Rhinolophus ferrumequinum: one gene and its partner. The protein of the gene in region 1 binds, or shares a complex with, the protein of each later gene. Links are inferred from orthologs where the notes say so. Each region holds a gene or a part of one and is shown on either strand. Other genes may lie near its edges.

Region 1 (3,907 bases):
CAGACCCCGGAGCCAAGAACACTAAGCACCTGCCATCCTGTCCACACCCCTGTCCTTCCCGGCCGTTGCTTCTGTATATAGAGAAATAAGTTATTGGCCGCGCCCCTCCCCTCAGTCGACTGTACCGCCCGGGTCTCCCCTCCCTGCCCTTCTCTAGTGGTACCGCCCAGGCCTTAATCACCCCTATTCCGCGCGGTGGTATCTCCCAGGCTCCACAACACATCTTGGGGGGGGCCTTCCCAAAGGGTTCCCTGGGCTTTCTCGCGCTCCTCCCGGCCTCTGAGGGGTGCTCCCAGCCCCACCACTGTCCTGTGCCCCAGGACGGAGAGCCCTCCCCTGCCCGTCTCCTTACCGCCGGGCCCTGCCCTGCATCCCGGCCTTATGCACTGCCCCTCCCACCCGACCCCGCCCAGGCACGGCCTGATCCCGCCCCGGGCACTGCCCGTGGTGCCATCCAGCCACACCTCCCACGCCTGCAGCTTCTCGCGAGGGGCAGTGATGCCCCACCCCGTGATAGGAGGGGCTGCCCAAGTTGGGGGGTAAGGTGGTCGCTCTCTATTTTCAAATGCTGTAGAAATAAAGACGGTTTGAATCTGAGCCAGGCTTGTTTTGGGGCTGAGGCCAAGGGTTCCCAGCGTCTCTAGTTTGGGGGTGGGGTCGGAAAGGCTGCGAGTGGGGTGTGTGTGTGTGTGTGTGTTGTGTGTCCACGTCCTGTCCCTCGCAACTGGAGCCCAGATACTCCCAACCCGGAATTGTTAGGGGGCCCCACAGGTTCAGGACCTAATAAGCTTCATCTCAGGTTCTATAGACTGCGCAGGCTTTGAGCTCTGTCCCTCACTAAGCTGACCTTGAGCGAGTTACCGACTCGATTTTTTCATATACTTTAAAATGTATGATGACACCTGGGGCTTCTGGCTGTTAGGAACGCCAGCACCCTGGATAAATGAACTTTTACTAATGTTCATAACTCAGTGTTGGGAGGGTAGGGATAACTACCTCTGTCAGATGTGAAACGTATCAACCCCGGCCCTAAATTGAGGTCCCAACGTGGGTGCGCCGTCAGGTTCCAGAGCGCAGTTCTCAAGCCCAGGTACGTCTAGGGAGCGAACTACAAGCCCCAGAAAGCAATGCGCGGCGATGATGGGGAGTGGGTTCTCCGAGCTTCGGGCTCTTCGATTTGCGCATGCGCAGCCCGGGTGTGTTTGGCAATGTGAGGAGACTACAAGTTCCGAGAAGCTAAGCAGCGAGGCCCCAGTCGAGTACGTTTGCGCCTGCGCGTTGCGGGCGGGGCTTCTGGGGCGGAGCGGCCACCATCTTGGAACGGGAGGCGGAGCAGAGCCGACTAGGAGCGACCGAGCGGGCCGCCGCTGCCGCCATGAACCCCGAATAGTGAGTGAGCCCCGCCCGCGCCGTGCGGCGCAGCCTCGATTCCGAGTACCGGGCTGTACGCTTATCGGGGTTGTCCGGCCCGGGTCAGGACTGCGCGGCGCCCCCACATCCGGGTCCCTCTTCCTCTGACCCCCCCCCACATCCGGGTCCTGCCCCTCCCCCGGGGTCCCCAGGACCCCAGCTCCACACCCCGAGATCTTGAACGCTGGACCCAGAGACTGCGACCCTGAGGGGCGCCACTTGGAGCCCGAGGCGCCGACCTTGCCAGGCCTTATTGGTCAGGTGACCCCTCAGCCCCGGTCTCTCCAGGTCTCAGTTTCCCCACTTGCTGGTTGAGAGTGGTGGTCTGGGTGCTGACAATGGTCTCAGCTTTATGAAGCCCGTCACCACATAGTTCCTGATCTCAGTCCAGACTTGGGCCCTTTAGGTCGTGCCGTAAATCTTTCAGTTCTTCCCGGTTCTCCCGGAATCCGGTTCCTGGGGGTAACCCAGGGGCTGGTTAGACGCGGGAGGCCCCGAGGCGCCGCTCTGTGTAGCTCGCCCGCAGGTCCTCCCCTCCTGGGCTGCCGCTTTGCCCCTTGCCTGGATCAAGTTGTCCGCCGTGGGCCCCTTCCCGTCCTCTGTTCACCTTTGCTCAGGCCCCCAGCGCCACCGTCACACCCCTTCCCTTTGCTGTCATAGTGCTGATGAAGTTTAGATGAATCGAGGCATTTGCTTACCCCGTTCCAGTGGGATTCTCTGTTCCTCTCCTCACTTCTTGGTCACTCCCCCTATGGGTAGGTGGCCCACATCTCTGCCCAAGACTTCCCATTGACAGTTTTTCCCAAGTGCCCCGTTATCATCCTGCTCCTCTTCCTCTTCCTCTTCTTCCTCCAGGCCTCAGATTTCCTTGGGGAAGGGTGAAGCTCTGAGCTGGATTCTAAGGGGGAACAGAGAAGGGAACTGACAGACTCTCACAGAGACTTGGGAGTCTGAACCTGGTTTCCAGTCTTAAAGTTAGACGCTGGGTAAACTTAGGGCAAGTCACTTCCTTTCTCTGACCTCTGGTTTCCTTATTTGTTGGGAATAACAACACCCATTTCATTGGACTGTTGTGAGGCTTAAATGAGATGATGCATTGAAGTATTTAGCACTGGGTCGGGCACAAGTAGGAATGCAGTACATTTTAAGTGATTGCCATTTGTTAACCACCTCTTCTTAGAGGTTCCCTACCAGGCTCTTTACATAGATGATCATGTAATAAGTTCTAGGCCGGGCCCTGACTCCCACTTCTGGGGCTTCCCCTGCCAAGGCCGGTACGCCCCAGGGCAGTGTAGTAGGATGGGTTCCCTACACAGCTCCTACCGGGCCCGAAACCGTGATGCCTGTCAGGAATGGGTACGATACCCAGCACTGCCTCCTAGCTCACTGTGATCCTCAGCCAGTCATGTCCCTTTCTGTGCCTCAGTTTCCTTCTCTGTAAAGTGGGGATTCATCATCAGGCCTTTTGGGAGTGGTCAACTTGCTCCTCCAAAGACTTGTGGGGGGATCTTGTGATTGCGTGCGTACCGTAAACCCAGGCACCCCTAATGTGCCTGGCGAGTGCCATCACTGGGACTCCAGGATGATGGTGGGAGGGCTCCCTGCCTTCCTTCACACTTTCCCGTCCTTTCTCTCCAGTGACTACCTGTTCAAGCTGCTTTTGATTGGTGACTCGGGCGTGGGCAAGTCATGCCTGCTCCTGCGGTTTGCTGTGAGTAAGAAGCCTCCCATACTATCCATCTGGGGTCCTGGCTGGTGGCTGGAGGGAGAGGGGGCAACCCAGAGCCCGGTAGTAGCAAGAACTGGGGACCAAGGATGAAGTTGCAGGACCTGCCGGCACCGTAACTGACTGAACAAGGGCACCTGGCTGGCCAGTTAGGTGCTGAGACCTGGGGCTCAGTAGTTAGGAGCTTTGCTGGAGCAGGACACTTGAGGGAAGTGTTCCAGCTGGGCCTCAAGCCTGTTCACTCAGGCCATTTCCCTGGCCCCCGGTCTTCCAGGATGACACGTACACAGAGAGCTACATCAGCACCATTGGGGTGGACTTCAAGATCCGAACCATTGAGCTAGATGGCAAAACCATCAAACTTCAGATCGTGAGTGTCGCGCTTCCCAGCATTCCTGGTGCAGAGGCATCCACCTTGAGCGGGGAGGGGCTCTGGGCATGGAGCCCAGGGCTGACCTGCCCTTCTCTGCCCCTGTCTCGTAGTGGGACACAGCTGGTCAGGAGCGGTTCCGGACCATTACTTCCAGCTACTACCGGGGGGCGCACGGTATCATTGTGGTGTATGACGTCACCGACCAGGTACTCCTGGCTCCCCTTCCCCAGCTTTGCCCCCGCAGCCTTGGGTCTTTGGCTCTCGCTTCTTTTTCCTCTTCCCGTCCTCTCTTCCGAATGCGGCCTAGAAAGGAGATTGGACTCGGACTTGTTTCACCAGGAGGGAAACAGCACAGAAACGGGTCCTCTCGGCCCTGCTGCAGGGTGGTGGCAGAGCCA
Region 2 (3,907 bases), on another chromosome or scaffold:
TAAGACTGAAAGGACAACAACTTGAAGCTGAACGTCACCCTCCACAACTAAGATTGAAAGGACAACAACTTGATTTGGAAAAAAGTCCTGGAAGTACACACTGTTCCCCAATAAAGTCCTGTTCCCCTTCCCCAATAAAATCTTAAGAAAAAAAAAAAAAAGCCCACATTTCATCGGGAGGTAGCATATATGTGATAATACAAATCCCTGAATCCTTTCTTCTCCAATTTCTTTTTGCCCGACTTATATGAGAGGTTTTACATATTCCAAAGTTGATATCTTCCAAATTCCTTTACAGTAAAAGGTCTGGGCTATCATAACTGTGACAGAATGAAATGACTATCCTACAGTTGGCTGCAAAATACAAGACACTGCTGTAAGTAAATCCCTGATGCCTGAAAAAGCAATTCATTCAACAAAGGAAAAAGAAATGATATAGATACTGCTTGGCTAGCTCACCATTAAAATGATCATTTTAATAAGAGGCACTGAAGCAATTCTTGAACGGCTCAGATAATGATGGTTCAGCCCATTATTGTCGCAAACCTTCCCCAATTCTGGCTACAGAAGCAAGGTAAAGATTTCTGCCTCCTCAGAACAACAGGTATCTCTGAAAGCACCTGCTTGGGGAACTAAACATATAGGGAAAGAACAATGACTAAAGATCAACACTAGCTATGCTTCCTCTAAAAGTTTTTCCTTACGTATTTTTCCAAAATACATATTAGTGACTTACATCAGCTAAGAAGATCCATATACTTAATAATGGAATCTTATGTGAGAATACAAAATTCCATACCAATTATTTGGTTTAATCTTGCCTATCAAGAAAGCTTTGCAGTCAATAGACATTAAACTCAAACTAAGCAATGCTAGTCTTAATCAAAACAATGGAAGAACTAGTCAGAGAGGGAGAGAACGTGCGAGAGAGATCTCCTATCCCACCCCTATGAACTCCTGAAGTTGACATTGGAAATTAACTTAAAATTTTATGCTTGAACTTCATATCTGTACTGGAAAGACAATGGGAGAGGGAAACCTTACCTTTTTCTAAGGCTCCTATTAAAAACAAAATAAAACAAAGTAGCCTCTGTTTTTGAAGGTTCTATTTAGTTTCAACAAACAGTACTGGAACTAGCAGATTCATTAACTACTGGAAACATAAAGACAAGTATGTGCTAAGACAGCTTTACCCCCAAAACGGAGAAAAATATTCTACAGAGTAAATCAATCTGATCATAAACTCTACAAAGGAGAGCTTCTAGTATTAATAACTTGCGAATATGATTAAAAACAAACAGGAAAAAACAAAACAACAACAAAAACCGTTTTCTAAATCCATTCAGAGAAGCAAAGTCAAGGAAACTAGGTGGGGGGTGAAGTCTCTTAACTTAGGCACAGTTGCACTTACAACAGGTCAAAGGACCCATACCACCTGGGACACTATTATGCCACCAGGACAGATGTCATACAAACACCAGCAAAGGGTTACAAGGCCAAAGGGCCCAGAGAAGTAATATGAGTGAGCTCCACTTCCATCCAGGACTAGAATAGGAGAAAAAGAGGATAAAAGAAAATGAGACCAGAGAAACAAGATGTGAATGGATGCTGCATCGAAACTTATGGGTTGAATATGTTGCTGGTTCTATTCTGGGCACCACCCATTAGAGGAGGGAAAGGTGGGAAAGCTCCGTTAGTCTTCTCCAGAGGAAAAACAGATTGTTTTACTTGGTACGGAGTAAACAATAACTTGAACTGTCATGTCTTAATTATATGTAAAATATAGTTGAAAATACAGTGCACAGCAAAACCATGATTTCACACAAATTATTGCTTAGATGAAACGGTATTAAAAAATAGAAAATCGCTTTTTACACAATCAAATAACATTACAATAGGTGGGACAGGCATGATACAGAAAGTAGATGAGTGGCTGCCAGGAGCGGTGGAGACTGGGGAATGGGAGGTAACAGCCTTTTTTTTCTTCCCCCCCGAATTATCACTGTGGACCTAGACAGCGGTGATGGTTGGACGACCGTGTGAAAGTCCTAAGAACCACTGAGCCGTACACTTGAAAGGGGTGTATGTTATGGTAATTAAAAGAAATAGGTGGGCATGCACACCGCGTAAATGAAGCCGGCGACAGATGAATGAAGTTTGGGAAACCTGCCTTACAACTAGGGAGGCGCCACCAGGAGTCTGCGGACGTGGCCGGACAGTTTCAGGCCCCGGCTGAGGCTTGGCCTGAGTTCTCGGAGGGACCCGATGCTCCGTTTCAGGCGAGACGAGGCCGAAAGCAGAGTCCCCCCACCCTGTCCGTTTCACTGGGGACGCGGTTCTGCCCCCCGGTTTCTTCCGGTCTCATCACCCGCTGACCCCCCGATTCCAGGCTCTCCTCTCCTCCAGCCTTTTCCTCTCCCGCCGTCCCGACCCCGCCCGCGGCCCGGGGCGCACCCTGCGCAGTCGCCGCCGGGCCCCCTCAGCCGGCGGCCCCTCAGGCGCCGCCTGCGCACGGGCCCTCTCCTCCGACAGCTGTCCCCTGCCCCTCGGCCGCCTTTGCCCCTCAGGCCGTCCTCGCAAGCCACTCCTCCGCGCCCCGGCCGGCTTCCGTACCTGCCTTCTCCGTGTTGCCGTCCCAGCGGCTGGAAGTGAGGCCGTCGCCCTGCGCCCTCCGGGAGGCCATGTCCCGGGGGCCCGGACTCGGGCCCGAGCTCCGGCTGGTGGCGGAGCCTCCAGAAGACGCGGCTGTGGCCGCGGGACCCACCGCCCGCTCCGCGGGGCAGGCTCCGCTCGGTCGCCCGCGGTGCGCAGGCGCGTAGGCATCCCCGCGCGGGCCCCAGCCCGGTGCCGACACGTGACCGTTCGCTACGCTGGGGCGGGCGGCGGTCTCCGGAGCACGCGTGCAGGCGCGGTAAGCTGAGGAAGGGCGCAGGGAGCGCGCCAGGAGACTTCCATCTGAGCTGTGGAGCGTGGCGCTCTTGAACAAGTGTGTTCAGGACCAGATGTTGTCATTGCTTTTGCTTTTATTTGTATAATGATACTGATGATAATAAAAGTGCTGAACTCAGTTATTGGGAAAGTGCGTAGAATACTACCAAGCAGATAGTAACTACGCCATAATTATGAGCTATTATTTTTGCTTGCCAGGGATTATACCTCCCGTCTCTCCTTCCCACACGTACTCCTGTCTACTTCGGGGTTTTATCAGAACCTCCGTACACGGCTCCGCAGGCTGTGCACTGCCCCACGCCGGGAGGCGCCCTTCATATAGATGATTACGAGAGCAGTGATCCCCTTTGAGTTGTACAAAACTGGCCACGCCTCCAAAATGAGAATCTGGCTGAGGTCTTTGACCATCTTCTCGTCTCCAGCGACAGCCCTTTCTCTCCAATTGGCCACCCATTCCCTCGGTCACACACACCCCTATTGTCATTGCCAGAAACTACCCCACTTTACAAATCTCCAATGCATCACCTCCCCCCACTCAAAGTTCCCATGATAATGGTTGCTGGATGACCCCTACCATAACAGTTCTTTATTCTCCGAAATCTGCAATGCACACAACCCATTACTACTGGCTCCCCTTGGTTTCATGCCCATCCTGTTCAATCCAGGTTCCATGGTCTAGCATTATATTGTAACTTTTTTTTTTTTTAAAAGGTCCTCTGGGTATCTTTCATGAGCAAAAAAGATCACTCTGAAGATAATTTGATTTTTAAAACTAATATTCAATTTATTAAAATTAGAAATCCCAAAGTTATTTCTTAATTCCAACTGACAAATTTTACAACTCCATTCATAAATCTAGTAAATTATAACAGTCACTTATTAATGGGACTTTGGTCCCATTAATAAAATTGGTTAATTAAATTCCTTTGAAGATTCAAAGGAACTGAAGATTTGAAAC

What was found.
Region 2: the proteins of RAB1B (region 1) and TBC1D20 are in contact, whole or in part, in a crystal structure (PDB 4HLQ), measured with the Homo sapiens proteins. The link is inferred for Rhinolophus ferrumequinum from reciprocal best matches to the Homo sapiens genes RAB1B and TBC1D20. Residues at the interface, in NP_112243.1 of Homo sapiens: Ser17, Gly18, Ser36, Tyr37, Ile38, Ser39, Thr40, Ile41, Gly42, Val43, Asp44, Phe45, Gln60, Trp62, Ala65, Gly66, Gln67, Arg69, Phe70, Thr72, Ile73, Tyr77, Glu94; in NP_653229.1 of Homo sapiens: Gln97, Gln98, Leu101, Asp102, Arg104, Arg105, Leu107, Arg108, His141, Tyr142, Tyr143, Gln144, Gly145, His147, Asp148, Phe177, Met178, Asp179, Pro180, Thr181, Met182, Lys186, Val212, Ile215, Leu218, Ser219, Thr223, His227, Met272, Ala273.

What each region holds. Positions count from the first base shown.
Region 1 is NC_046294.1:5,650,097-5,654,003, reverse strand, and holds the start of RAB1B (ras-related protein Rab-1B), read left to right. Parts: upstream 1-1,246; 5' UTR 1,247-1,375; coding exon 1,376-1,389; intron 1,390-3,048; coding exon 3,049-3,121; intron 3,122-3,410; coding exon 3,411-3,506; intron 3,507-3,619; coding exon 3,620-3,715; intron 3,716-3,907. UniProt on the Homo sapiens protein: The small GTPases Rab are key regulators of intracellular membrane trafficking, from the formation of transport vesicles to their fusion with membranes.
Region 2 is NC_046306.1:23,384,454-23,388,360, forward strand, and holds the start of TBC1D20 (TBC1 domain family member 20), read right to left. Parts: upstream 2,860-3,907; 5' UTR 2,684-2,859; coding exon 2,614-2,683; intron 2,400-2,613; exon of another isoform or gene 2,171-2,399; intron 1-2,170. UniProt on the Homo sapiens protein: GTPase-activating protein (GAP) specific for Rab1 and Rab2 small GTPase families for which it can accelerate the intrinsic GTP hydrolysis rate by more than five orders of magnitude. Also shows GAP activity for RAB18 GTPase.